Linked DNA regions of Macaca fascicularis. The protein of the gene in region 1 purifies or fractionates together with the protein of each later gene. This does not show direct contact. Links are inferred from orthologs where the notes say so. Each region holds a gene or a part of one and is shown in the gene's direction. Other genes may lie near its edges. The genes, in order: CSNK2A2, PRMT1, SAP30BP, ZC3H18, EIF3A, PHRF1 and ZC3H4.

What was found.
Region 2: the proteins of CSNK2A2 (region 1) and PRMT1 purify together in Homo sapiens (affinity purification with mass spectrometry; 3 studies listed by BioGRID and IntAct, with this or other methods). This does not show direct contact. The link is inferred for Macaca fascicularis from reciprocal best matches to the Homo sapiens genes CSNK2A2 and PRMT1.
Region 3: the proteins of CSNK2A2 (region 1) and SAP30BP purify together in Homo sapiens (affinity purification with mass spectrometry; 3 studies listed by BioGRID and IntAct, with this or other methods). This does not show direct contact. The link is inferred for Macaca fascicularis from reciprocal best matches to the Homo sapiens genes CSNK2A2 and SAP30BP.
Region 4: the proteins of CSNK2A2 (region 1) and ZC3H18 purify together in Homo sapiens (affinity purification with mass spectrometry; 3 studies listed by BioGRID and IntAct, with this or other methods). This does not show direct contact. The link is inferred for Macaca fascicularis from reciprocal best matches to the Homo sapiens genes CSNK2A2 and ZC3H18.
Region 5: the proteins of CSNK2A2 (region 1) and EIF3A purify together in Homo sapiens (affinity purification with mass spectrometry; 3 studies listed by BioGRID and IntAct, with this or other methods). This does not show direct contact. The link is inferred for Macaca fascicularis from reciprocal best matches to the Homo sapiens genes CSNK2A2 and EIF3A.
Region 6: the proteins of CSNK2A2 (region 1) and PHRF1 purify together in Homo sapiens (affinity purification with mass spectrometry; 3 studies listed by BioGRID and IntAct, counting the BioPlex papers as one, with this or other methods). This does not show direct contact. The link is inferred for Macaca fascicularis from reciprocal best matches to the Homo sapiens genes CSNK2A2 and PHRF1.
Region 7: the proteins of CSNK2A2 (region 1) and ZC3H4 purify together in Homo sapiens (affinity purification with mass spectrometry; 3 studies listed by BioGRID and IntAct, with this or other methods). This does not show direct contact. The link is inferred for Macaca fascicularis from reciprocal best matches to the Homo sapiens genes CSNK2A2 and ZC3H4.

What each region holds. Positions count from the first base shown.
Region 1 is NC_088394.1:54,293,382-54,297,774, reverse strand, and holds the start of CSNK2A2 (casein kinase II subunit alpha'), read left to right. Parts: upstream 1-1,522; 5' UTR 1,523-1,901; coding exon 1,902-2,005; intron 2,006-2,786; coding exon 2,787-2,898; intron 2,899-4,393.
Region 2 is NC_088393.1:57,657,491-57,661,262, forward strand, and holds part of PRMT1 (protein arginine N-methyltransferase 1), read left to right. Parts: coding exon 1-104; intron 105-779; coding exon 780-867; intron 868-947; coding exon 948-1,063; intron 1,064-2,605; coding exon 2,606-2,756; intron 2,757-3,113; coding exon 3,114-3,235; intron 3,236-3,772. UniProt on the Homo sapiens protein: Arginine methyltransferase that methylates (mono and asymmetric dimethylation) the guanidino nitrogens of arginyl residues present in proteins such as ESR1, histone H2, H3 and H4, FMR1, ILF3, HNRNPA1, HNRNPD, NFATC2IP, SUPT5H, TAF15, EWS, HABP4, SERBP1, RBM15, FOXO1, CHTOP, MAP3K5/ASK1, MICU1 and NPRL2.
Region 3 is NC_088390.1:82,105,510-82,109,281, forward strand, and holds part of SAP30BP (SAP30-binding protein), read left to right. Parts: intron 1-2,330; coding exon 2,331-2,422; intron 2,423-3,155; coding exon 3,156-3,216; intron 3,217-3,669; coding exon 3,670-3,721; intron 3,722-3,772. UniProt on the Homo sapiens protein: Plays a role in transcriptional repression by promoting histone deacetylase activity, leading to deacetylation of histone H3.
Region 4 is NC_088394.1:84,536,758-84,540,639, forward strand, and holds the end of ZC3H18 (zinc finger CCCH domain-containing protein 18), read left to right. Parts: intron 1-1,720; coding exon 1,721-1,817; intron 1,818-2,330; coding exon 2,331-2,529; 3' UTR 2,530-3,199; downstream 3,200-3,882.
Region 5 is NC_088383.1:128,077,440-128,081,211, reverse strand, and holds part of EIF3A (eukaryotic translation initiation factor 3 subunit A), read left to right. Parts: intron 1-122; coding exon 123-286; intron 287-1,738; coding exon 1,739-1,938; intron 1,939-3,170; coding exon 3,171-3,379; intron 3,380-3,772. UniProt on the Homo sapiens protein: RNA-binding component of the eukaryotic translation initiation factor 3 (eIF-3) complex, which is required for several steps in the initiation of protein synthesis.
Region 6 is NC_088388.1:505,414-509,185, forward strand, and holds part of PHRF1 (PHD and RING finger domain-containing protein 1), read left to right. Parts: intron 1-109; coding exon 110-291; intron 292-595; coding exon 596-715; intron 716-1,405; coding exon 1,406-1,560; intron 1,561-2,994; coding exon 2,995-3,772.
Region 7 is NC_088393.1:55,112,051-55,116,400, reverse strand, and holds the start of ZC3H4 (zinc finger CCCH domain-containing protein 4), read left to right. Parts: upstream 1-1,545; 5' UTR 1,546-1,560; coding exon 1,561-1,988; intron 1,989-2,593; exon of another isoform or gene 2,594-2,821; coding exon of another isoform or gene 2,822-2,967; intron 2,968-3,178; exon of another isoform or gene 3,179-3,202; coding exon of another isoform or gene 3,203-3,240; intron 3,241-3,306; exon of another isoform or gene 3,307-3,470; coding exon of another isoform or gene 3,471-3,493; intron 3,494-4,350. UniProt on the Homo sapiens protein: RNA-binding protein that suppresses transcription of long non-coding RNAs (lncRNAs). LncRNAs are defined as transcripts more than 200 nucleotides that are not translated into protein.

The sequences.
Region 1 (4,393 bases):
ATTCCTGTGAATAGGCCACTGCACTCCAGCCTGGGCAATATAGTGAGACTCTATTTCTAAAAAAAATACTACTAATAAAGAAAAAGGCGAAACTTGAATAGGGAAAAGGAGTCACCCTTGGGAAGGTGGGGTGGAGGGGTTGGTGGTGGCTCCTAGTTAAGCTTGGAGGATGGAAGGAACCAAAAGATGGATGCGTGGTGGTCTCAGGGAGGGAGGCATGATCAGAGAAAGGCCCTGGGTCTGGGAATAATCATATTGTACACATAGTATCTTAATATTGAACACCATCCTACATGTTTCACATGCTTTACCTTGTTTAATTCTCCTTGCAGCCCTGTGAAGTGAGTGCTATTACTGGTTTTGTGCTGTAGAATCTGTGACACAGAGAGGTTGAGTAATTGTCCTAAGGTCACACAGCTTCTAAGTAGCAGTGCTGGATAGATCTGACTCCACAGTCTGTGCTCTTAGCTGTGTCAAGGAGGAAGGCCCAGGATTTCATCTAGAAAACAGACTGTGAAAAGGGATTGGAATGAGAGCAACCTGCACTGGGTGCAGAGGTCCTGTCGATAAAGGATGCAGGATGGGAAAGGAAGACAAAGGAAGGGCCTAGAAGGTCCAAGGAGAAGGGTGTTCAGGGCTGCAAGCAACACTGGAAGCCAGGCCAGTTCAGTTGACCACCTACCCTGGTGCATCCCCAACCCCTGCTGTCCCTTCAGGTCGGATTTGCAATTCTGCTCTCCCTCCTCCTAAACACAAACAGGAGATTTACACACTCAAAGTCTCTCCCCACAAATAACTAATTAATCACAAAGGGAAAAATTGTAACTTTGCAGTGGCACAACCTGGCCGACACCAGCTTAACCAAGTGACCAAAGTGGATATTCAGGGAAGGCTCTGGAAGGGCATTTGGGGGAAGCGTGGAAAGGTTTTGTGAGGACTCTGAATGACGGGGGTGGGAAGCTTTGGGGACTGAGGAGTCTACCCTAACAGGGCAGGGTCCAGAGGGGGAAGGAGGGGTATGTCTCCGGGAAAGGGAGAAGTATTGAGGTGGGAGAGGTTCTGAGGTTTGACCGAGGCCCTGGGGAGGGACTTGACAGTTTGGGTGACAGGAGGGTCAGAATAGGGTCAGTATGGGAGGTGTCGGGTGGGTAAAAGCTGGGTGAGTGCAGGGCTAGGGGTAGGGTCTCCAAGGACAGTGAAAGGGTCGAGACACGCGGGCGAGGGCTCTAGGGCAACGGCCAGTGGAAGGGGGGCTCCTGTGGCGTGAAGTCAGGCCAGCCCGAGGGTGAGGCGATTTGGACCGTCCGACCTGGGGCGACGGGAGGGCGAGGGTGCGGGACGGTGCGGGAGGGCGCGAGGTAGGCGGCGGGGCGTGCCGGGGCGGGGCCGGGGCGGGGCCGGCACCGCCCGGCGGGTCCCCCCGCGCTCCAGGGGGCGCTGTGAGCCTGGGCGGCCCCAGGCCGGGCGGCGGCCGCTCCCAGCGAGCGCGGCCCCTTTTCCGGGTTTCCTCCGCCTCCTCCTCCTCTCCTCCTTCTTCTCCGCTGCCGCGGCCGCTGCCCCTTTCCCGGCCGGTGGCTGCCACTGCCGGTGCCGCCGCCGCCACTGCCGCCGCCTCCTGGGGGCCGCGAGCCGAGCGGAGACCGCCGCGGATCGCGAGCGCCGCCCGCCCCGCCGCCCCGCCGGCCGCTCCAGGGCCGGGCCGGCTCGGCCGGCGCCCCCCGCGCCCCCAGCCCGCCCGCCCCCGCGGGCCCGGCCTGGCGCGGCCGCCCGCCGCCGCGCTCCTCCTCCTCCTCCTCCAGCGCCCGGCGGCCCGCTGCCCCCTCCGCCCGCCGCCCCGCGCCCCCCGCCGCGTCGCCGCCGCCACCCTCTGCGCCCCGCGCCGCCCCCCGGTCCCGCCCGCCATGCCCGGCCCGGCCGCGGGCAGCAGGGCCCGGGTCTACGCCGAGGTGAACAGCCTGAGGAGCCGCGAGTACTGGGACTACGAGGCTCACGTCCCGAGCTGGGGGTAAAGCCGCCGCCGCCCCCCGCCGGGCCCGCTGACCCCTGCCCCCGCCCGGCCACCCCCTGCGAACCGCACTCGGGCCCGGTGGTGTCTCCCGCCGACCCCTCCGCGGGCCCGCAGGGAGGCAGAGGTCCAGCTCTCGCACATGTCCTCGTCTTCCTCTTCCCTCCCCTTGTCCCTTTCTCCCCGCTTTGCGCACCTCTTTCCCCCAAGGAATGCTTTTTTACTCGGGGAGAAGTGTGGGGTCCAGGGATCGACGCCGGGTAAAAGTGAGGGAGTAGCCCTTCCTCACGCTTCTGGGTTTCCACTGGGGTGGGAAGTCAACAGCTGTCCTTTGGAGCTATTAAAATTCCCTGCCTTTTCGGTTTTCTGAGATGAGGTGGTGGGAGGAAATTTCTTAAAGACGTCCAGTTTTTTAAAACAGGCACTGTCTACCCTCAGGGTGTGAAACGGGAAGCAGGTGCTGGGGAGCCGCGGGGCACAGGGGGCACCCTCTAGGCCTTCAGGACGGGTGCTTTGCTCAGCCCTCTGGATTGGCTCAGAGCGTTGCCTTCCTGCCCCATCTTTCCAAGTTAGGAGAGACCAATTAGGTTAGGAGCTCTGCAGAGTGAAGGGAGCCAAGATTACGTCGTGGCTTTCATTTAGGGAATGAGTTGTGACGTGATGTATAGACACTTCCAAGTGTTTGCCTGTTGGAAGCGGCTGAATGACGTATACAGTGAGCATAGGCTTGCTTAGATTAACCCCCAGTCCTGGCATTTATGTGTGTGTCTTCCTTTTACAGTAATCAAGATGATTACCAACTGGTTCGAAAACTTGGTCGGGGAAAATATAGTGAAGTATTTGAGGCCATTAACATCACCAACAATGAGAGAGTGGTTGTAAAAATCCTCAAGGTGAGTGTCCTATGAGTGGTATGTAACATTTTTCCCCCCCACAGGGCAGAAGGTTGTAAGCTACCCCAGTCACGTTCTAGAATGGGCAATGCAAACTTGAATTTAATTTAATTTATTTATTTAGAGTCAGTCTCACTCTGTCACCCAGGCTGGAGTGCAGATCATAGTTCACTGCAGCCTTCAACTCCTGAGCTCAAGTGATCCTCCCATCTCACCCAAGTAGCTGAGACTACAGGTGCATGCCACCACGCCCAGTTATTTTTAAAATTTTTTTGTAGAGTCAGGGTCTGGTCAAGTTGCCCAGGCTGGTCTTAAACTCCTGAGCTCAAGCAGTCCTCCAAAAGGACTCCTTGCAGGCCTCCTAAAATTGCTGGGTTTACAGGCATAAGCCGCTGTGCCCAGCCCGCGCTCAGATTTTATTTATCTGATGTCCCTTCATTACTTCTTTTTCCACCCCATTTTCCTGTGAACTTTCAAGAAAATGTGCAGACTGGTCACAGATCTTAGTTCAAATCTAAGTTCAGGAAGGTGTTTGTTCTAAAAAGTAAATTGCCTAAAGCAAAAATTCCTAAAGGGCTCCATTTGTTAGAAAATAAATAGGTATTCAAAAGACAGGAAAGCCATTCTCAATTTAAGGGCTCCCTGAGCACTGTGTTTGTTAGTCTTGGTGCATGCTCTCCGTTGTTCCAGAAAGAAAGTTGGAAAAAATTGGAGCGACTTCAGAAATGTATGTCAAACCCAAGTGGAAGGAAATTCCTTAGCAGATAATCACTTGCTTTTTTTTTTTCCTTTGGCAGTAAAGTTTCAGGTGGGATGGATATAGTGCGCCAGTAGTGCTGAGAAGCCTTGTTGGGAAGCCAGAGAGCCATTGTTGCTTATCAGCTAGTAAAAATGTAGAAGAATTCACGTATTATTACTAAAGCAATAATTGGAACAAAACGATTTTAATATATGGTTTAGCAATCAGTTTGATAATGATATGTCTTTTGTTATCTCTTCCATGAAGATGATTTTAATGAGCATGAAGGGTTGGCTAAATTTTCCTTCTGGTAACATTAATTGTATAGCTTTAATAATGTTTTATAGGCTATAGTAAAAAGTAGTTCTTAGAATCTGTGATGGGTCTTCGTTATTGCCAGATCATTTCATGTGGTTACATGTCATTTAGTGAGAGATTGAGAAGACGGAAGAGTGACGTAAGCACTTTGCATACATGTGATTTCCAGTGTGGCCCTTTTGCAGAGGTTCTGTGGACTAAGAATGTGGAATTGAAAAGCTGTTTCTGTGTGTTAGAGCAGCTGTGTAGGTAATCACTGTTTAATGTGAGGGGTCAGGCTTATGCTTTCTCGTAATCTTTCAGAAAAAATGATTAACTCCATCACTCAAAACATCCTAGCCTAGTGATGAAGAAGCAGAATTGCAGTAAAGAGAAATAGACAGTTACTTGTGTTCTCAGACACACTGGGGATGAGAAGTGAGGAATTGATGTTGAAGA
Region 2 (3,772 bases), on another chromosome or scaffold:
TCCCGGTGGAGAAGGTGGACATCATCATCAGCGAGTGGATGGGCTACTGCCTCTTCTACGAGTCCATGCTCAACACCGTGCTCTACGCCCGGGACAAGTGGCTGGTGAGGCCCCAGCAGACGGGTGCAGCTCGCATGGGCTGGGGGCCAAAAGCACTCAATTTTTCCCACAGACGGGACTTACTATGGGGGTGTGGCTGCAAGGTGTTAGAAGGCCACAGCCCGAGCCAGGTGTGACAGACCCTGGTGGGAGATGGTGCGATGTGGGGGGGTTTGTAGGAACAGGAAAACTATAGCAGGGCACTAGACCAGGTTCTCCGGCCCCAGCAGGCCGCCCCGGGAGAGGTGAGGTGACCGAGAGCTGGATGAAGATGTGGAGGGGTGGCCAGGGCAGGTGTTCCCTTGCTGCATGTGGAGCAGCAGGGAGGCCCGTGTGGAAGGAGGGTCTAGAAGGGCAGCAGGAGGAGCAGTGGAGGTAAGGGGTGACAGGGCATGTGCAGATTTTGTGGGGCCTTATGGGACCCCGCGCGACTTTGCTTTTCCTCTCAGAGCAGCCAGGGAGGGTCTGAGGATCCCCAGAACCTCGAGGGACAGGAGCTGACTGAGGTGCCCCTGGGTGCCCTCTGGCGGCCGTGTGGGAAATAGACCAGGGGGTGAGGGGTGAGTGCCGCTGCGACATGAGGGTGGCTCAGACCAGGGCAGAAGGTCACATCTCGGGGGCAAGAGTCAGGGCAGCGTTGCCAGGCCCCACCCTTCATGCCTCGCCCTGCCCCTCTGCAGGCGCCCGATGGCCTCATCTTCCCAGACCGGGCCACGCTGTATGTGACGGCCATCGAGGACCGGCAGTACAAAGACTACAAGATCCACTGTGAGCGTGGCCCAGGAGCGGGCGGGCGGGGCCCCGGGTGGGCTGCCGCGGGCTCACCCCCTCCCTGCCTGCCTCCCCAGGGTGGGAGAACGTGTATGGCTTCGACATGTCTTGCATCAAAGATGTGGCCATCAAGGAGCCCCTAGTGGATGTGGTGGACCCCAAACAGCTGGTCACCAATGCCTGCCTCATAAAGGTGAGGGGGGGGGGTGGGCATGGCCAGGTGCCCCCTGGGTTGAAACCAAAGAGAGGCCATCACCTGGCCCTGGCATGGGACTTTGGGGCCCAGAGTGTTGGCCTGAGGTCTCAGAGCCTGACCTGCCAGCCAGAGGTGGTGCTAGGGGCCCAGGAAAGACGTTTCATCCTTTAAACATCTTTGTGAGCGCTGCCGTGTGAGAACCACGTTTGGCACTTGGTGTCCGGCAGAGGACACACCCGCAGCTGGTAGCTAAAGCCCACAGCCCGTACACGGGAAGGCAGGACCTGGGGCGATGAGCGGGTGCACACGCTGCAGAAGAGCAGGGGGCCAGGCTGGGATCCGAGATGTGCCTGTGGTTGCAGCTACTCAGGAGGCTGAGGCGGGAGGATCTCTTGGGCCTGGGAGTTCAAGGCTGCAGTGAGCTGTGATCACATCCCTGCACTCCAGCCTTGGTGACAGTGTTTTGTTTTGTTTTTAACTTTTTTTAACTTCTGAGACCCTGTTTATTTATTTATTTATTTTTTCTTTTTTTTTTGAGACGGAGTCTTGCTCTGTCGCCCAGGCTGGAGCGCAGTGGCCGGATCTCAGCTCACTGCAAGCTCCGCCTCCCGGGTTTATGCCATTCTCCTACCTCAGCCTCCCGAGTAGCTGGGACTACAGACTCCCGCCAACCCGCCTGGCTAGTTTTTTTTTTTTTTTTTTTTTGCATTTTTTAGTAGAGACGGGGTTTCACTGTGTTAGCCAGGATGGTCTCGATCTCCTGACCTTGTGATCCGCCCGTCTCGGCCTCCCAAAGTGCTGGGATTACAGGCTTGAGCCACCGCGCCCGGCCGACCCTGTTTAAAAAAAAAAAAATAAGGCAACGAGTATTTGTTGAGCTGGGATGTGTGAGCCGGGTGAAGCTGGGTGGTTGGCCGGGGGTTCCTGTGGGGAGGAGGAAGCTGTTGAGTGGGAATGGAGAGGAGACTGGAGGGGCAGGGACCCCACCCAGGCCACCCTCCTGAGAACCAGCGGAACTGGTGCAGGGTTTTCGGTTGGATTGCCGTTTGAAGCCATCATGCTGGTGGACTTGTGAAGGGTTGGGGAGAGTGGGGAGCGCGGAGAGGGGGGAGCGCGGAGAGGGGGGAGCGCGGAGAGGGTGGAGTGCGGAGAGGGGGAGCGCGGCCCGGAGAGCGCGGAGAGCGGGGAGCGCGGAGAGGGGGGAGCGCGGAGAGGGGGGAGCAGGGTGCCTGCATTCCCAGGAGGTCTGGCCAGGTGGGGTCGGGGCGGGGTGGGCTCTGGACAGAGTTAGGGTGGCGGCGCCAGGTTTGGGTGCGGGAGAGAAGGGAGCAAAGAATCTGGGCTCAAACCGAGGCGGTTTATTGGGAGCCGGACAGTCAGGATGAGGAGTGAATGAGGAGCTGAGGCTGGGTGCCAGTAAGGGAGGGCCAGCGGGAAGGGGACAGTGAGGTCACAGGCCCTCTGGGAGCTTGAGGGAGGGAGGAGGGGATGAAGCGAGGTGGGGACACATCCCGGAGCTCACCCTCTCCTGTCCTGCAGGAGGTGGACATCTACACCGTCAAGGTGGAAGACCTGACGTTCACCTCCCCGTTCTGCCTGCAAGTGAAGCGGAATGACTACGTGCACGCCCTGGTGGCCTACTTCAACATCGAGTTCACGCGCTGCCACAAGAGGACGGGCTTCTCCACCAGTGAGGCGGGGCCCGCAGGGCTGGGGGCTGCTCCTGAGCCAGGGCCGAGGGGCACCCACATAGTGGAGGGGGTGACAGAAACGGGCAGAGGGAGCCATGGGGACATGTGTGTTCCAGCGTGAGCTCTGCCATGTAGCAGTCACGTGGCCTTGAGCAAGTGATCTGAGTGTGCAGTGCCTCAGTTTCCTCATCCACAAAAGCCTGACACGGTCCCTGTCTCCAAAGCTGAATGACAGGGAGGTGACTCACGGACAGCAGTCCCGTCAGCTGTCAGGGGGGTGGACATTCCAACAGAGGGAACACAAGACTGGGGCCAGGGCAGCAGGCCAAGGCCAGCTGACCCGCCTGCGCCCCCAGGCCCTGAGTCCCCGTACACGCACTGGAAGCAGACAGTGTTCTACATGGAGGACTACCTGACCGTGAAGACGGGCGAGGAGATCTTCGGCACCATCGGCATGCGGCCCAATGCCAAGAACAACGTGAGGCTCTGGGCAGCTGGGCAGGAGGGTGGCAGCCGGGGTGGGGAGCATGGATAGGGGCAGTGGTAGGGGGGAATGGTGGCAGCGTAGGGGATGGGGGTAGCTGGGGCGGATGGGGGCAGCTGGCAGGGGCGAGTGCCTCTGCCTGTTCCCGGGTCCCTGAGCCCCTCAGCCCCACGCCTGTCTACACAGCAGATTTCTTAGCATTTACTGGAAGATGGGCCTGGGGACCCAGGCCAAAGCCCTGTCCTCCTGGTGCTTCCAGTCTACACAAGGGGATCAGTGACATGGTGATGCCAGTGGGAGGTGACCTCTGTCAGGCTGGGAGCAGGGCAGACAGGTGTTGGCGTGGGTGAGCTCCAGGGCAAGAGGCGGCCCCGGTAGAGCGCACAGGGTTTGCTAGCCCAGGTGGGAGGCATGAGAGGAGGAGAAAGGCAGCTTTTTGTTTTCCACTCCCCCCTTTTTCCTCCTGAGCACCTGGTAGGAGCTGCCATCACCTGAGATCAGGGGGTTTCCAGGGGAGCTGGGGGGTCTTCT
Region 3 (3,772 bases), on another chromosome or scaffold:
GTTTTCAAATCCCAAGGAGTCGAAGCTTTTGTGCAGTTACACTCACGGGGGGGACATCTGGGGTTCAGCCCGTGGCTCTCCTTGTCCCTCTGTGGGTTCCCTTGTGATGAACAATAGAACAGGCACCCAAGGCTGCACAATCATGGCTCCTGGGCCACCTGCTTCACCTTTGATCCTGGAGCTTCCACTGGGGGCCTCTGGCTGCACAGCAAGCCTGTGACACCACCCTAACGGATGGATGACTAATGGGACCTGAGGCTAAGGAATGCAGCACGCTGGGGGAGGGCCAGAGTCAGAACTGGGGGTGCAGGGCAGATTATCTTCCCTTCCCGGAAGTCTCCTCCCATAGCTGAGTCGTCTCCCCACCACCACCCTCCAGAATCACGTCACCCTCCATGCCAGACAACCAGACAGCAAGCTCCAGCCTGTAAGGACAACTCCAGCAACCCGCCAGGCAGAGACAGCTGGCGCACTGCCTGCAGTGCCAAATGTGCCTCCTCTTTAGACCCTCCTGATGGTGGAAACCATGGCATTTGAGCAAACATTTTAGTTCATCTGGGGTGGTAGAACTGATCTTACGGCCCAGGAGACGCAGCCAAGTCATCTGTATGACATGGGTTCTCCTCAAGTTGCTGAGCCTTCTATATATGGCTCCCTCCATGACCCTGGAGGAGATAGCTTGGAGGACAGAAGTTCTTCAGTCTCGGCGATTATATCACAGACCTCCCTCTGCGGTTCAGCTCTTGCTCTGGCCAGTCTCGGTAGAAAGATTTGGCCTCTAATAAGGGGAGTGGATCACCCCTCCTGACATGTCCTAAACGCTGTCACCTGGGCCCTCCAGGCCTGCCCGCCCGCTTTGCTGGCACAGTGCCTCAGGTGTTTCCCTTCTGGAGAATCTCTGTTTAAGCCCCACTGCAGGGGGAGGCTGCAGGTAGATCTTGCCCTGGACCAGTGCCCGCCTTCCTGGCTGAGACTGCTCTTACCAGAGGTGGCTCTGGTGTCTTGGCCCTCTTCATTGGCACTGGGCCATGCTGATGCCATCTACTTTGGGCATCATGTCCATGGGCTGGGGAGGACCCCCTTCCTGAGGACGCCTGTGGCACTGGCCGCAGTAGGTCAGCCTGCATCCCCCGTGGTGGTTCTCCACTCTCCCACTGAGAGCCAGGCATGACCTGTGGGGAATTTGGGTGAGAGAGAAGCAGTTAACCCTTGATACCCTCGATAAGCCAGCGCGGACCAGCCACCTGTGCGCCTCCCTGTAAAAGACACAATCTAAAAAGCTTGCAAGACCGAATCCAAACAACTACTCCTGCCTCCCATGAAAAGGCCATAGCCCTTCCGAAGTCTCCTGTGGTTCACAGTTCTGCTGAGGACTTGACCTCATGTTAAAATTTAAAACCAGGATTCATTCCCTGCATATCAACACCAGTACCCTACACCCTGCTTCGGATGATTCTGGAACTGATTAACCAATTGGGGCTTTGTTCATTTTTTTCTCCGTGGCTCCTCTGCTGTGATCTTTTCACTGCTCACTATATTGTCATCCAGAGAGTGTCAGGAAACCTCAGCAGTGAAAGCAGCCTGGTCTTGGTTTATGTTACTTGTGTGCAATTCTGGGCAAAAGGTAGGGTGGAAAAAGAGAATAGGTTAATTTTTTGTTTCGTGTTTTTGAGAGAGTCTCACTCTGTTACCAGGCTGGAGTGCAGTGGCATGATCTCAGCTCACTGCAATGTCCACCTCCCAGGTTCAAGCGATTCTCCTGCCTCAGCCTCCCAAGTAGCTGGGATTACAGGCGTGCCCCACCACACCCAGCTAATGTTGTTTGTGTTTTTAGTAGAGACGAGGTTTCATGTTGGCCAGGATGGTCTCAATCTCTAGACCTTGTGATCCACCCACCTTAGCCTCCCAAAGTGCTGGGATTACAGGCGTGAGCCACTGCGCCCGGCTGAGAATAGGTTAAATTCTCCGCCTTCTGGGTTCACGCCATTCTCCCGCCTCAGCCTCCCAAGTAGCTGGGACTACAGGTGCCTGCCACCATGCCTGGCTAATTTTCTGTGTTTTTAGTAGAGATGGGGTTTCACCGTGTTAGCCAGGATGTTCTCGATCTCCTGACCTCGTGATCCACCCGCCTTGGCCTCTCAAAGTGCTGGGATTACGGGCATGAGCCACCGCGCCCGGCCAAGAATAGGTTAAATTTTAACATGAGGTCAAGTTGGGCTTTGCGTGGCTCTGGAGCCTCACGTTCATGCTGCACACGTAGCTGGTGACCAGGGGCTGGGATGGTGGAGAGGTGGGCTTCTGTCATACACCCCTCTGCTCCTCTTCCATAGGACAAGATCCAGAAGCTTTATGAACGAAAAATAAAGGAGGGAATGGATATGAACTACATTATCCAAAGAAAGAAAGAATTTCGGAACCCCAGGTAAGTTTCTCTTGAACCTGCAGAGTTTATTGAGTTATTAATGTTGGATTAAGGACGTCCCCAAGGAGGTGGTGAGGAAAAGCCCTGAGCCCAAACCATCACCCAGACTTGTCATTACACTGAGTGCCTGCTGGACACGGCAGACTATGCTAACCCAGCCAGAGGCTTGCCATTTAAGATCCTGACAAAACACAAAGCAGTCCATACCGAGACCTAGACGGGGATGAGGGAGACCTGGCTGAGTTCTCGTCCCTGCTCTGAGCCTAAAGCACATGACCTCTCAAGACCCCTGTCCTCATGGAAGGAATTGGACTAGACAATTACTATAGGTTCATCTTTCAACTCTAAAAAGCTGATTTTTGCATATAGGTGAGAGGTCTTAGGACCAGAGCTATGTCTGGTCTTATTCCATTTAATGCTCAAGCTAGTGACTTACGGGGGAAAGAGCATGGCCCTTGTGTGGGCCTGAGTGTGGTGAGCCCAACCCAACCATGCAGACTGAAGGTCAGTGGGACAAAACTCAGCCATCACCTTGACCCCATGCTCCTCCCGGCCCTTAGTTAACAGGTCCATCTCCCTGGGAGGGTGTAGGGCCATCAGGAAGCTTGCTTAGAGCAGCTGAGCTGGATTTAAAGGTTTTGAAGGTTTTGTGTCAGCCCCAGGAGCTGGATGGTTCAGGCCCCAGGCAGGGACGTGGACTTGTGCCTGCTCAACGCCTGTGCTGTTTTTTCAGCATCTACGAGAAGCTGATCCAGTTCTGTGCCATTGACGAGCTTGGCACCAACTACCCAAAGGTACATCTGGCACACGGAGCTGGAGGGTGATGGGGACACCCGGGGTCCTGTGCTTGTTCCATGGGGTTTGACCTGCAGCCACAGAAGGGTCCATGTAGTGGCACCGCTAGTTGAAAGCACAGTCCCCATGTCTTGTGTTTGAGTCCCTATTGTTCTGAAATAGTCCAATAAAGAGATTCCAGTGGCCGACCTGGTGTCTGGCCCCTGACTGGTGGGGACATGTGTGGACCTGCTGCTCCTGGGGGTCACTGGATGGGGGCTTCATGCTCCCGTGTTCTTCAGCACTTGCCAGCTGCCCCTTGGCTAGAGACCAGGGATGACAGCCGAGCCCCAGGTAAGGGGACCCCAGACCAGGAAGCTCTGTGGAAAGACTCAGGCAAGGAACTTGGGTTTCTGAGTCATTTGTCATATGACGGTTCCTACTAACTGCAACTTTCGCCTTTTCCTTTGCAGGATATGTTTGATCCCCATGGCTGGTCTGAGGACTCCTACTATGAGGCATTAGGTAGCCTTTCATCCCTCCTCCCATATACCTCGTCCGCCCACCCAACTGTCC
Region 4 (3,882 bases), about 30 Mb from region 1:
TGAACCGGGAGGCGGAGGTTGCAGTGAGCTAATACTACACTACTGCACTCCAGTCTGGCCACAGAGCAAGACTCTGTCTCAAAAATAAATAAATAAATAAATATAACAGTAATAGGCCGGGCATGGTGGCTCACACCTGTAATCTCAGCACTTTGGGAGGCCAAGGTGTGCAGATCATCTGAGGTCAGGAGTTCGAGACCAGCCTGGCTAACATGGTGAAACCACGTTGCTACTAAAACTACAAAAAATTAGTTGGGCATAGTGGCACACATCTGTAGTCCCAGCTACTCAGGAGGCTGAGGCAGGAGAATTGCTTGAACCCGGGAGGCGGAGGTTGTAGTGAGCTGAGATTGCGCCATTGCACTCCAGCTTGGGCAACAAGAGCAACTGTATTTTTCTTTTTTTTTTTTCTTTTTTTTTTTTTGAGACGGAGTCTTGCTCTGTCGTCCAGGCTGGAGTGCAGTGGCCGGATCTCGGCTCACTGCAAGCTCCGCCTCCCGGGTTCACGCCATCCTCCTGCCTCAGCCTCCCGAGTAGCTGGGACTACAGGCGCCCGCCACCTCGCCCGGCTAGTTTTTTGTATTTTTTAGTAGAGACGGGGTTTCACCATGTTAGCCAAGATGGTCTTGATCTCCTGACCTCGTGATCCGCCCGTCTCGGCCTCCCAAAGTGCTGGGATTACAGGCTTGAGCCACCGCGCCCGGCCTGTATTTTTCTTACACGTGTCATTTTTGCAAAATATAATTATATTTTCCAAAACAAATGAGCAGGAATGGCATTGGTTTTTCCATTTTTGCAAATCTCTTCAGTCTGACTGACAGAAGACAGCTGGACCCACGTGCCTCGTGCCCTCTGGAGACCCTCCTGGGTTCTTGTGAACTGAGTGACAGGGCAGACGGTGTCTGTGTTACTGCTGAGCCACATAGACCTGAAAGGGCCTCGGGGACCCCCAGCCGTCCTGACCACACCCCAAGAGCTGGGGCCCAGATGGAAAGACAGGGAGGTTGTCCTGGCTGGCTTTGATGGGTGGAACTTAAACCAGAGGACAAGGGGGCCTGGCCACCCGCACAGCCACTCCCAGACACAGAGAACAGGCAGGGGGCTTCAGACTCCTTCCTGAGTAGTTCTCTGAGTTTGTCGGGCGTAGGAAGAGGAAGCTGCTCACCTTTGTCCCTAAGCCCAGGGCAGTGTCCTGTGTGGTTAGTCTGGAACAGCCTCGCTGTCCTTGCCTGGGGTTGGAACCAGGGCCACTGGGGTCTGCAGACCTTTGTTCACGCATGAGCCTTGGGCCTGCGCCGGGCAGTGGACCCTGCCTAGGCTGCCGCGCCTCCCTCCTAACATTGCCAGAGTGACACTCGTGATCTCTCGGCTTTGCTTGTATGTCTTTACTGCCATGTCTTTTTTGTTGTTCTGTATTTGAAGCCCCATGTGATAAATTTCTTCAAAGCTAGGAAGGAGTTTTGTCTCTCTGCGCAAGATACTGGCTGCTTGGTGGCACCTGGAGCCCAGGTTTGGCCTCAGCCTCATTTCCGGATGCCTTGGTGTCCACATGTCTCTTCTCTTCTACTTGGCTCTTCCCTTTTTATTTCTTTATAAAAATGAAGGAGGTGAACTAAGCAGCCTCAGGCTTTAGAAGTGAGTCCCTGGTGTTGGTGAGGCCACCCACACTGCCATCCCCTGTAAGCCAGGAGGGTGGTCTCACTCTGTACCTATCACCCAGGTTCTCGGGACCGGAAGTCAGGTGGGAGACTGGGCTCCCCGAAGCCAGAGCGACAGAGAGGCCAGAACTCCAAAGCCCCTGCAGCCCCGGCTGACAGGTGAGTGGACCCAGCATGTGCCCTGGGCACACCGAGGGTGGCTAGCCTGAGCCTCTTTCCCAGGGAGGCCAGCAGCAGCAGGGCTAGCACTGGGCCAGGTTGGAGGTGCTCCAGCTCCTGTAGCTCCTGCTGGGCTGATGTGGTGAGGGACAGGGACAGGGAAGGGCAACCCCACTCCCGCACACACACTCCTGCCCTGGTCGAGGCTGGAGGCTGCCCTCTGCTCCCCATGTCCTTGGGCAAAGAGCTCTGGGCACGGAGGTGGGAAGAAGAGCAGGTTGTGTGGGGCCAGCCCAGGACCCTCCCAGTCTCTACTCCACAAAGCCCGGCAGCCAGTGGCTAGGACCAGGCCTGCTTGTGGCAATGGGACCCTGGCCATCCCGGGAGCCCCTTGCCTCTCCTGGTGGCCACTGAGCACTCAGTGGAAGTTCCCCTTCAGGGAGGGCACCGCACTGCTGCTTCCACCTCAGACGTGGCTTCTGGGGGCTCAAGGTCTTCCCCACCCCCTTGTAGGAAGCGCCAGCTGTCACCACAGTCCAAGAGCTCCAGCAAGGTCACGAGCGTGCCCGGCAAAGCCTCGGATCCCGGCGCCGCCAGCACCAAATCAGGGAAGGCCAGCACGCTGTCGCGGCGGGAGGAGCTGCTGAAACAGCTGAAGGCCGTGGAGGACGCTATTGCGCGCAAGCGGGCCAAGATCCCCGGGAAAGCATAGGCCATGCCCCTGACCGGACTGGACGCATTTTTATACATAGGGTAAGCGCAGCCATTTTGGATTTTGCAGTTAATGTCTTATTTTGGCTGTGATTCTTTTTAAAAAGTAAAAAAGAAAAAAAAGTTTCTCAGCTGGAAAAGAAGCCACACAGGAGATGACGACGACGCTGAGTCCCAGCCTCCCTCCCCAGAGCAGAAGTCCCACAGGACAGACACAGACAGCGCGAGTGACCAGCACAGTTCTCATGTAAATTACAAGCCCCAGCCGCCAGCCCCGCCTTCTTTTCCTCCTCCACCGTCTTCTTTCCTGGCCCTGGTCAGGCCTGGGCCTGTGGAGCCCCAGCTCTGCGTCCCCAGCCCGGGTCCAGGCAGCCAGGATCCCTCCTGAGCTGAGAAATGGAACCTCGAGAACCACTGGTGGCACCTCCTTCTCCTCCCCGCCCCCGATCACCCGCCCCCGGATCAGAAATATATCTATATTCTCGACTAAAGTCTCATCAGGAAATACTTCCTGTCTTTTATTTTAAGCATCAAATTGTTTTAGTTGATTTAAACAGGAAAAAATACAGAAAAGACCAAAAAAAAAAAGGCCAAGGGTATTGTTGGGGCGTCTGTCTAATGTGGAGGGTCTTTTTTGAGGGGTCTCCTAAAATAAAATATTTTGATAAGCAGCTGTTCTTGCCCTTGTGGTGTGTGCGCCCTCTGCCCAAGCACAGCCCCGTCTGCCTCTGTGTGGTGCACTGCACTTGGCCCAGCACTCGGGAGCTGCTGGGGGGCAAGGGTGTGGCTGCGCGCTCACTCCCCCTGGGAGGACCGGCCATGGAGCAGCTCCTGCCTTCAGACCCCAGCTCAGGGAAGCACTGCACCTCAGTTTCTCCATTTGTGGGGCTGGGTTGGGCGTTCCTTGGTTCATGAGATGGAGGTACCTTCCCGAGCAGGGGCTATGGAGCTGCTGGAGGGGAAGAGGTCCGGGGCTGACTCCCAGCCCTGAGCCCAGCTGCCACCTCTGCAGTGACCACCACCGGCTCCGTGTGCAGGCCCCAGACCTGCTGAGCCAGGCCCCATGTGTGATGCCACGTTCCACAGCAGGGGCCACCAGCAGAGCCCCCCAGGAGCCCCCACTGTCGCTCTCTGCTCTCCACCTTGAAAGCCACAGGCCTGCACCTGGGCAGAGGCCTCCCAGGTACACGCTCCAGGGCCTCCAGCACCTCCTTTAATCAGATGCAAGGAGCCGCAGTGTGGGGCCCACGCCTGTGGCCCACCCGTGTCCCTCATCTGCTTCCTGACACGAGGTTTGGGATGAGACCCCCAAGAGAGAGCTCCCTCCCCCGGGGCTGCGAGTGGAGCCCCAGGG
Region 5 (3,772 bases), on another chromosome or scaffold:
ACAAAGTTGTGGGAAGAATTTGCACTGTTTTCCGATGAACATTGTTGGTTTTGGTTTTTAATCACATGGCAAAGTAGGAAACTGTCTAAAATTGTTTTCAACATTTTTTTCTGTCTTTGTAGTGTTCTCCTAAGTGCTGTAAGTGGTGAAGACACTCAGGATCGTACTGACAGATTACTTTTAACTCCATGGGTTAAATTCCTGTGGGAGTCTTACAGGCAGTGTTTGGACCTTCTTAGAAACAATTCTAGAGTAGAGCGCCTTTATCATGATATTGCCCAGCAAGGTAAGATGAGAAGATCAAATCTGAGTGAAGTGCTTTGAAATTGAGGAGTAAATTTTCTGAAAAGTGCTTAAAATGAACTAGTTTTTATCCTTATTGAAATGTTGGCATTCACATGATATTAAATGACTGCGGCCGGATGTGGTGGCTCACACCTGTAATCCCAGCACTTTGGGAGGTCAAGGTGGGTAGATCACTTGAGGTCAGGAGTTCAAGAGCGGCCTGGCCAACATGGTGAAACCCCTTCTCTACTAAAAATACAAAAAATTTAGCCGGGCATTGTGGTAATCCCAGCTACTCAGGAGGCTGAGGTGGGAGGATTGCTTAAACCCAGGAGGCGGAGGTTGCGGTGAGCCAGGATGGCACCGCTGCACTCTAGCCTTGGTAACAGCAAGACTCCGTCTCAAAAAAAAAAACAAAAAACAAAAAAAAAAACAAAAAACAAAACCAAAATGACTAAGGGATTTGTTTTGCTCGTTAAAGGAGTTTTGTGTGAATTGTATTTTATTGATACCTGAAAAATTTTTTTTCTTTTTACACAAATATCAGTAACAATGAAAGACATTTTAAAGTCCTTTTGGAATTCTCCATGTGACTGAAAAAATAAACTTTTCCTTTTTTTTTTTAGTAAACTTGAATCCTCTACTTTGGGTTTTTTTAAAATTTATTTTTATTTTTTAAAAAAGAACTGGGATTTTGCATTGTTGCCCAGGCTGGTCTCAGACTTCTGGACTCAAGTGATCCTCTTGCTTTGGCCTCCCAAAGTGCTGAGATTACAGCTCTGCCCAGCCTGAATTTTCACTTTAACACAAGTAAATTTGGACTTTTTGGCGGCTGTTGATACAAATATTAACTTGAAGTTAAACTGGATCTCTGTTTTAGGTCTGTTAAAATAGACATACTGTTTTTAAGGGGAAAGGAAATCTAAAAAATAATCCAGTATCGCATATGTGACAGTAAAAAAATTAACGTGTCCATTTAAATGACAGGGAACAAATAGTTCATCCATCTGTAATCAGTTGAAATTAGGTTACTATAAGCCCTCAATTTGTATTATGTAGTTTTAATTAGTACAGAACCTTGTTGCTTTCCATGTAAGTTAGATATCAAAGTTCATTATATTTCAGACTAGATTATTTTTACTCTTAGGATTTAAAGTGGTGGGTCTTTGAAAGGTGACTCTTAGATCTAAATTTTAGTTTCCCGTTTGTAAACTCTGCCAGCACCACATTTTAGTTCTAGGCAAGGACCGATGATTATGTTTTTGGTTTTGTTAGGGTTCACTCAAAAGATAGTCTAGATGAAATAAGTTGATTTTCATTGCATCACAAAGACTAATGATGAGTTTGATGAGTCCCGTTAAAATAACTGATTTTAATGTGTGAAGTAAAACCTAGTCAAATATTTAAATAGATAGTGGAAGATACCTAATATATTTTACAATTATGCTTATAGCTTTCAAATTCTGCCTCCAATACACGCGTAAGGCTGAATTCCGTAAACTGTGTGACAATTTGAGAATGCACTTATCGCAGATTCAGCGCCACCATAACCAAAGTACGGCAATCAATCTTAATAATCCAGAGAGCCAGTCCATGCATTTGGAAACCAGACTTGTTCAGTTGGACAGTGCTATCAGCATGGAATTGTGGCAGGTATGTTGGACCTATTAGCTTTTCTTTCTAGAAATAATAGTCTGTGTTATTTTTCTCCCCCCTTAATGAATAGCTTCATCTTGGTATGCATTGGTTAATTTCAGTAGATAAGGTAAGGAATTAAAGTTGCCTGATGGGCTGGGAAAAGTTCTGAACAAGAAATCTCAGAATATTTTGTTTCTAGTTGCCTTCTATGAATTGTGGACCAAACCGTATAATCTCTTTCAGACGCAAGTTTCTTGATGTACAAAACAAGACATTGCCACTGCTGCTCGAAGTGTGGTTTCATGACTGGTGTCATTTGTGAACTGTCTGGTCTGTGATGAAATAAGTATAGCATAGAGAAGCATATGCAAAGTTTCTTAGTTGCAATTTTATTGTAAATTTTTTGTGTGTTTACTCTGATAAAAAGTGAACTTTTTCTGTTTCATTTTTGTGGTAATTTTGTATTTTATATTCTTCGGTAAGAGGTTAGAAAAAAAAAAAGAATCCTTTACTAATTGTTGGAGAAGCGCTGCTGTAGATTATTCTAGATTTCTTAGTAGTGCTTTAGCTGACTGTCTTGCATTGGAGATCTTGGTGGTGGTAGGAAGTTAGTCCTCACCTGGCCCTTTTTCTCTAAGAATCCTCCAAAAACATTCTATATAATTTTGTAGTCATGTGACCTTGAAGTCTTTTGTATATTTGATGGACAATATTTGATTGAAATTATAGAGGAAGAAACTAAAGATTGGGAGTCTTTGAGCCCAGTGAAAGTGTGATTCGATGTCTTGTTCTTGCCCATGTTTCCTTTTCTATAGGGACACCCATCTTAAAATACTACCTGTAGAAGATGAGTAAACATGCTCCATTATAGAAAAAAATGCATAAATTAAAAGAAGAGACATATTCATCCATTATCTTATCACTCAGAAATAACCTGTTGTATGTCTTTCTAGATTTTTTTCTTTATATTGTCCCAAGTGATGGGATAATATGCCGATATTTTCTTGAGTCTGCTCTGTCTACTTTCCAATATTTCCTAAAGAACTTTTAAAAAGTTTAAGGAGTTAGTGTTTTTGTAATTGTGGCAGTTTTCTAAAATAGATATTATACATGAGTAAAGAGAACCACACAAAGGTATTTTATTTGCTATTTTTATGTTTTCTGTGTTGTAGGTTTCATAGAAATTTGAATTAGATTTTTTTCATGTTATAGAATGCAATGACTTTAATTTGTACTACTAATTTTAGGAAGCATTCAAAGCTGTGGAAGATATTCATGGGCTATTCTCCTTGTCTAAAAAACCACCTAAACCTCAGTTGATGGCAAATTACTATAACAAAGTCTCAACTGTGTTTTGGAAATCTGGAAATGCTCTTTTTCATGCATCTACACTCCATCGTCTTTACCATCTCTCTAGAGAAATGAGAAAGAATCTTACACAAGATGAGATGCAAAGGTAAGAATGTTATACTTGGATAATGTTGAAATTTTGTAACAAATACCTGTTATATGACATGGTATATTCTAGGCCATGGTTTCTCAGCCTCTGCACTGCTGACATTTTGGGTTAGATAATTCTCAGTCGTGGGGCTGTCCTGTGTACTGCAGGTTGTTTAGCAGCATCTCCAGCTTCTCCCCATTAGATGCTAGTAGCAACCACCCCCAGTTGTGACAATTATAGACGTCTCAAGACGTTGCCCTTCCTGAACAGTATTCTTGGACTTTAGTAGTTGGTCTTGAACTCCTCACCTCAGGCGATAAGTAATTCCACTAAAAGCCCAATTGAGAAATTTGAATATTAGCAAAAACACGTTTAACGGATGAGCTTTCTATCCACATACAGGTATTT
Region 6 (3,772 bases), on another chromosome or scaffold:
CGCCCTAGTGTTCGCTGTTGCTGATGAAGCCTTCACATGGCATTTACAGAGCCCTCGTAGATGCCATCCCCGTCTCTCTGTTCATCTTTTTCTTTGTTACTGGATTCAGAGTGAAGCCACCACTCGCTCTCGAATTGCGCGGACGCTGGGCCTTCGCAGGCCTGTTCACAGCAGCTGCATCCCATCAGTGTTGAAGCCAGTGGAGCCCTCCTTGGGGCTGCTGAGAGCGGATATTGGAGCTGCATCTCTGTCTCTGTTTGGAGACCCCTATGAGCTGGACCCCTTCGACAGGTGACCGAACTGGTGATGGTCCTGCCTGGGCACCCGCTCCTCTCTCTGGGGGCTGTGGGCATGGTACCCGAGGTGCATGTGGAGGCGTTAGGTTTTGTGTTTGTGAGTGAGGGTGACCATTCCTCCACCACCACACTCAGTGCAGGTGGGCAGCGTGGAACTTAGAGGTCTGGTGCGGGGCCCGAATCACACGTGCCGCCACGTGGCCAGTGCTCGGCCATCCTCGTCCGTGCCGTCTCCCTGGGCTGCGGGTTCTGGGAGCTGGGAGTCACCCGTTCCCTTTGGCCTGTGTTCTCCCCTCTAGCAGTGAAGAACTTTCTGCAAACCCTCTTTCCCCTCTGAGTGCCAAGAGACGGGCTCTGTCCCGGTCAGCCCTGCAGTCCCACCAGCCCGTGGCCAGGCCCGTCTCCATGGGGCTTTCCAGGTGTGTGAGAGCAAAGGCTTCTGGGGAGGTGAGGGCAGCAGTGGGGCAGCGGATGGGGGTTCCAGGGTGGCCCTGGGTGGCCTCAGCACCCCCCCTCAGCTGTCACGCTTATCAGTCGGCTCTTGGCGTGAGGCAGTGCTGCAGCCTGTCGTGAGTCAGAGGCCACGGCCTGCCCGTGAGCGTGGACTGGAGTTGCTGCAGCTCCACGAGGTTGGCCCCTCTGTCCCCCACCCTGGCTTGAGAGCCACCAGCACAGGGACACCACCTCGGGCAGGAGCAGTGGCTCTGGTGAATAAGGCTGTTATCAGAGGTCACCTTTTGGCCAGTTCTTTTGTTTCGCCACAAGAACAAAAAAAAAATTGACCAAAACCAACAGAACAGGTAAAGATGCTTGTCTGCCCCTCCCGCCCGTTGGTGGAGTTGGGGGTGGCAAAGGCACCAGAGGTGACTTCTCCCAAAAACACCTGGTTTCCCTGGAGCCAGAGCTGGAGGGTGGGGCTCCCTCCCTCCCTCTGGGAGGCCCTGGTGGGCACCTCTTAGAACAGCAGCCGGAGCCAGGACTGTGGGGGAGGCGCAGGCCCCGCCCAGCCCCACTCTTCCCGGCTCCTGCCTGCTGCAGGGCTCTGCCTGGGTGCCGGTCCTCAGGCTGTGGGAGGCAGTGATGGCAGGGCCTTGGGTCTGTGCCCACAGGAGGCATCTCCCTGCTGCGGTGCCAGAGCCAGACTTGGAGGAGGAGCCAGTGCCTGACCTGCTGGGCAGTATCCTATCGGGCCAGAGCCTCCTGATGCTGGGCAGCAGTGACATCATCATCCACCGTGATGGCTCCCTCAGCGCCAAGAGGGCGGGTGAGCACCTCCGTGCCACAGCTGCCTTCCTCTGTGGGCTGCTGGTCCTCAGGCTATTCCCAGCACTCAGCCCATGTCTCAGTCACAGAAGATGTAATTGAAGTTGGGGGACTATTCCTCAGCCATTTTTCTCCATTGATTTCCCTTCTTGAGCAGTTTCCCAGTTAGCTCTGAGTTCTTACCGAGCCCCACAGCTTCAGAGTGCGGCCCCTAGTACCTGGTTAAGAACATGTCGGCCGGGCGCGGTGGCTCACGCCTGTAATCCCAGCACTTTGGGAGGCCGAGACGGGCGGATCACGAGGTCAGGAGATCGAGACCATCCTGGCTAACACGGTGAAACCCTGTCTCTACTAAAAAATACAAAAAACTAGCCGGGCGAGGTGGCGGGCGCCTATAGTCCCAGCTACTCGGGAGGCTGAGGCAGGAGAATGGCGTGAACCCGGGAGGCGGAGCTTGCAGTGAGCTGAGATCCGGCCACTGCACTCCAGCCTGGGCGACAGAGCGAGACTCCGTCTCAAAAAAAAAAAAAAGAACATGTCCTGACCGGGCGCGGTGGCTCAAGCCTGTAATCCCAGCACTTTGGGAGGCCGAGACGGGTGGATCACAAGGTCAGGAGATCGAGACCATCCTGGCTAACATGGTGAAACCCCGTCTCTACTAAAAAAAAAAAAAAATACAAAAAACTAGCCGGGCGAGGTGGCGGGCGCCTGTAGTCCCAGTTACTCGGGAGGCTGAGGCGGGAGAATGGCGTGAACCCGGGAGGCGGAGCTTGCAGTGAGCTGAGATCCGGCCACTGCACTCCAGCCTGGGCGACAGAGCGAGACTCCGTCTCAAAAAAAAAAAAAAGAACATGTCCTGACCGGGCGCGGTGGCTCAAGCCTGTAATCCCAGCACTTTGGGAGGCCGAGACGGGTGGATCACAAGGTCAGGAGATCGAGACCATCCTGGCTAACATGGTGAAACCCCGTCTCTACTAAAAAAAAAAAAAAATACAAAAAACTAGCCGGGCGAGGTGGCGGGCGCCTGTAGTCCCAGTTACTCGGGAGGCTGAGGCGGGAGAATGGCGTGAACCCGGGAGGCGGAGCTTGCAGTGAGCTGAGATCCGGCCACTGCACTCCAGCCTGGGCGACAGAGTGAGACTCCGTCTCAAAAAAAAGAAAAAAAGAAAAAAAAAAAAAAAACATGTCCTACTGGGGAACTGCCCCTGCCCCGGTTAATAGCATCCTAATGGCCTCAGGCCCTGTACTTTGTCATCCACAGAGCGGCTGTTGAAGCAGCTCTCCGGGTGTGGAAAGACGAGGTGTCCACCTCAGCAGGCAAACGGGAGTTTAAAGTGCACGACCTCACAGAAAACCAGTTGTGATAAAAGTTAAACCACTGACATTTAAGAAGAGTGGGTGGGAAATGATTGCCATTGACTTTTTTGTTTTTTAGCTCCAGTTTCTTTTCAGCGAAACTCAGGCAGTCGGTCCAGAGGGGAAGAAGGATCTAAGGACTGCCTGCGGCCCCAAGCACTGCCCTCAGGGAGCCCAGCCCAAGGCCCCTCAGGAAACAGGCCACAGAGCACAGGGCTAAGCTGTCAAGGCAGGTCCTGCATCCCCGCCCGCACCTCGGGCGCACCGGTGAGGCCGGACTCGTCAGCAACCCCTGGGTCGGTTCAGGCTCGGAACTTGTCCAATGGGAGCGCACCTGGCTTCAGACAGAGTCCCAGCCCCCGGTTCAACGGCACCAACAAGCACACTTTGCCCCTTGCTTCTGCCGCGTCTGAGATCTCAAGCAGAGATTCGAACCCCCCGTGTCGCCGTGCGGTGCCAGGGCCTCCCCTGAAACCCACGCCCAAAAGAACAGACATCTCTGAGTTGCCCAGGATACCAAAGATCAGGAGAGAGGACGCTGGCGGCAGATGGGGCGCGGCCCCAGCCCACGGGCAGAGCATCGAGATCCCCAGCGCCTGCATCAGCCGGCTGACTGGCAGGGAGGGCGCCGGGCAGCCAGGGCGAGGCACGCGGGCAGAGAGCGAGGCCAGCAGCAGGGTCCCCCGGGAGCCCGGCACGCACACAGGCAGCTCCCGGCCCCCAGCCCCCAGCTCCCATGGCAGTATGGCCCCGCTGGGACCATCAAGAGGGAAAGGGGTTGGGTCGACCTTTGAGAGCTTCCGGATCAATATTCCTGGAAACATGGCCCATTCCAGCCAGCTCTCCAGCCCCGGCTT
Region 7 (4,350 bases), on another chromosome or scaffold:
ACAAAGCGAGACTGTGTCTTAAAAACAACAACAACAAAAAAGTCTTGCTGTGCTCTTTAGCACTAATCCTATGACGTTGAACCAATTACTTAAAACACCTAACTTCAGTCTGCAAATGGGAATTGCAGCAGCTTATTTTAGGACGGTTATGAGAGTCAAAAGATTTTGTTTGTACACAGCCTATGACACCGGCCAGTGTTTCTATCTCCGCTATTTGTGAGCCTTCTCTGGGTCCTCCTACACCCCAGGTCCTTAAACTCCCCTGATGGACTACCAAGCCCCGCCCCTCTCTCCTGCAAGGATGACGTCATCGACTGAGTTGTCGAGTGACGTCACCTCCGGGCTGGCTGGGCTTCATCGCTTCTCCGGAAACCTCCGACTCTCGGCACCTGGCCTCCAGCTTTCGGTTATTTTTTTTTTTTCTCTCCGTAGCTTGAATTCCTTCCCTCCCATCCTCCCACCTAAAACTATCGGCTCTTCCCGCCTTCCTTCAAACTAGCAATTTTCGGTTCTTCCCTCTTGCTCTCGGGCGAATTCCTGAAAGTCGTTTATTCTCTTAATTAATCGCCGCTCCAGCCCCGCCCGTTCAGCTCATTCTCTTAATCGCATTACCCTGGCTGCTTTTCTTTCGGCTGTTTCCACCTCCTGCCACCCACCCAGACACCGCCTTCGGCTCTTTCCGGACCATCTCAATTTCTCCTCCTTCCCCGGTCCCAATCGGCTTAGGCTATTTCTGGCTCCCCTAGGTTTCTCATGCTCTCTCTAGCCCCACCCCATCACCAGCTTCGGCTCTTTTCGGCTCTCCCCCGTCGCCTCCTGTCTCCTGCTCAGCTCTTTTCGGCTATTTCCGCCTCCCCTCGGACTCACCCTTTGCCTTCGGTTCTTTCCGCCGGCCCTCAGGCAAGCGGTCTCTACCCCTCTCCCGCACGTGACGCGGCCTCCGCCTCCGCCTCTCAGTTCCCCCTCCCACCTCACCCTTCCTCCCGCCTCAGCCTCTAGGCTGGTCCGGGCCGAGCCGCCATTTTGTGTCAATTCCTGATTGCGGCGGGGGCCGGGCAGCCGGGAGACCAGTGGCGGGCAGACAAGGGAGACAGTCGGCCCGTCTCCGCGGCCCGTTCCCTCTCTCCCTTCAATCCTTTTTTTCTTTTTAACCCTTCCACCCCCTTCGCTGGCTCTCCTCTTCTCCCCTTACCCTTCGCTTGCTCCATCGCGCGCGGCCCGCGCTAATTACACCCAACCACCCACCAGTGTCCGAGTCTCCCGGGTCTCCCGCCCCCGGGCCCGCGGGGGTGCGTGGGGGGGGGGCTCTCGCCCCTATGAGGGCCCCGCGCCAGTAAGCGAGTGACCGCAGGGGTGGGCTGCGGAGAAAGCAGGCGGCGAGCGGCCCTCCGAGGCCTAGGCCGCGCGGCCTACGCGGAGGTCAGCGCAGAGGTGATTCCGAAACCGAAAAAATATATACCCCATTCCCATCAGGAGCCCTCCGAGCTTAAGTGTGCCCCTCCCGCCACGCCCAAGCAGTCCTTTTTCGTGCATTAACATCCCCTCCCCCCCAAAGGAACTATGGAGGCCGCGCCCGGGACCCCCCCGCCGCCGCCATCAGAGTCGCCGCCGTCGCCATCGCCGCCGCCGCCATCAACGCCTTCGCCTCCTCCGTGTTCCCCCGACGCCCGCCCGGCCACCCCGCACCTCCTCCACCACCGCCTCCCGCTCCCTGACGACAGGTCAGGCCCCCGGCCGGGCCGGGGCTGCGTCCCCGGGGGGAGGAAGAGGAGGAGGAGGAAGGGGGGCGGCCGCCATGTTGGGCCGGGCCGCGGAGGAGGAGGAGGAGGAGGAAGGGCGGGGTCGGTGGGTGTCTCTCGATCGCTTGCTCGCTCGCTCTTTCTCGCTTGCTTTCTCTCCTGGCCTCATGCGTTTCCCCCCCCTCGCGGCGTTCGCCCGCTCTCCCTCGCTCTCGCTCTGTCTTTTTTGGGCGCCATGCTGAGGGGAAGGTGAGGAGGCGCCCCTCGGACCCCCCGCGCCCGCCCGCCCGCCCTGGGGAGGGGGCGCCGGGGGGGGTGCTGCGGAGGCTTACGGGGGTCCTTGGCTGCCCCTACGCCCGGAGCTGGCAGCCACGGGCCCGCCTGCTCGTCGCCTGGCTTCGGGGAAGGGGATGGGGGAGGGGCTCCGGACCCTTTTTGGGGGGATCTCGAGCAACAGCCCCGCTCTTAGGGGTTTGGGGTTGGGGGTCTCCCAGCCCCCGGCAGTATCCTTTCTCCTGGGGGAGGCACACCCTACCCTACTTGGATGATAGGTACCTTAGCTTAGGAGGCAGAAAGTGGGGGTTCATTGCAGTCCCTTCTCCATCCTTGTAATGGGGGGTCATTTGGGTGGGTGCTTTATAGCACTTTTATTTTTTGGCGGGAGGTGTTTTGTAGCTATTCCCTAGAAGGCCGAATTGGGGAGTGGGGGAGATGCATCTCCAGCCCTTTTGATGAAAACCCCTGCCTATTTATTTAGAGAAGATTCTTACCCGTGTTTTTGTTAAAGGGCAGGGGTTCTCTCGCTTTTCGTAGGTAGGTGACGTGAGGGAAGACTAGCAGCCTTGTTTTGTGGGGGTAAGGTTTGGTTTCCCTGCCTTGTAGGGAGAGGAAGTTGGTCCCGCGCTTTCTCGTGGGGTTCCCCCCTCTGTCGGGGTAAAATGGGGCACCGTCTCTTCCGGGAGAGAGAAAAGGAGATTTCCTTGTGCTTTGGCAGGGCGTTAAAGGAAGCGCCCCCTTCCCTTTATTAAGTGCGAAACGCGGCGCCCCCCCCCCCCACGCCCTTCTCTGGCTGGCGGGTGATAATGGGGTCAGCCCGGCGCGTTTCAGGGCGAGGTTGGGGCCCCGTTTCCTTCCCCTGCTCGAGCAGAAGGAGTTGGGGTGCAGGGTTCGCCCACTGTTTCCTGGTGGGGCAGAAGAGGCGGCTGGAGAGTAGATTTGGACACGGACGGTGGGTTTCAGCCGGCAGGAAAGCGAGTCTTGGAGTGGGGGTGGAGAGGGGAAAAGAACGCGCTGGACAGATGGCTACCCCGCCGCAGCCCTGGCTGGGGAGCCGCTGAGGACCCTCCCTTGGCCGGGGGTCTCAGCCAGGGCTTCCCCTGCTAGGGTCTACGGCCCCTTCTCCCTACTCCCACCTCCCCTTTCCCCTTTCTCCTTCACAGACCATACTTTGCCTTTTAAAAGAAATGCCACCCACATTCAGAGACACAAGTGCAGCAGTTTGGTGAGCTTTTTACAACATTTGTTTTTTTCTGTTTTGTTCTAATTAAATGTATCGTCCTGGGAATCGCAGCCCATCGCAGCCCGACTCCAAGGAAATAAACAGATTAGCAAAGGTCTGTTCGCAAAGCCCTTGTTGGGCTTCCGGGCCCCCTCTCCGGGGGCAGGTGCATTACTCAAAGGTGCTTACACGCTTTATTCGACCTCTAAGGAGTTCTCTTATGTCAGAAGTGTATGTCTTACAATGGGTTGGGATGGTAAGTAGCCTCTTTTATTGAGTAATTCAATGATCTCCCTCTTTTTCTCCCTTTCCTGCCTGCCTTCCTCCTCGCCTTTAGACCAAAGTGATGCTTGAGAGAGTGAGTTGATATGTTCGAATCAGGATTCTAACCCTGTTGAGCCCTTTTAGACTTGCACATCCTTTCAATGTTTAATTTTTAAAATTTTACGTACACAGTTTTCTCCAAAAAAAAAAAAAAAGTGTGTTACTGTAACATGACAAAAATCGATATAAAAGGCCCGTATGTTTTCGGACTCTTGGCATCCCTCTTTCCATTTCAATCCATTGCTTTGTCTCCAGCCTTCATCTCTGAAAAGAGTGGATACTTCAAGTCCATTTGTAGGAGACAAGCTTACTGAATTTGATTTATGATACATGTATTCAAGTTAATGGTTTCCCTCCCTCCCTGCCCCCCAGAAAAGATTGGTTCAAGTAGCTCCAATTTTCTCATTTTACTCCAATGTCTCTTGTGGTGATGGACGTTAAAATTGAGCAAGTCATTTGTAAAGTACTGTTGAAGCACAAAATCTGTAAACTGTGTCAAGCCCCCATCTCTGCCCGTCTCCACTGCTCCTTTGTTCGAAAGCACATGTCTGACTGTGAAAAGTTGATGCAAACGTGTTACACGCCCAGTCATGTTGGAGGGAACACCTCCTCCAGCCCCCAGTCCCCCCGGCCTACACGTAACAAGGAAAAAACAGAAACAGAAATGACTTGCAGAACCAAACACCGTACTTCTGATGTGTTTTACAAGCATAAGTTCCGTTAAAAGACAAAACACGTTGAAGTTGCATTTTCCCTCTTTCCCACTTTTGATCCCTGACATACTTTGAG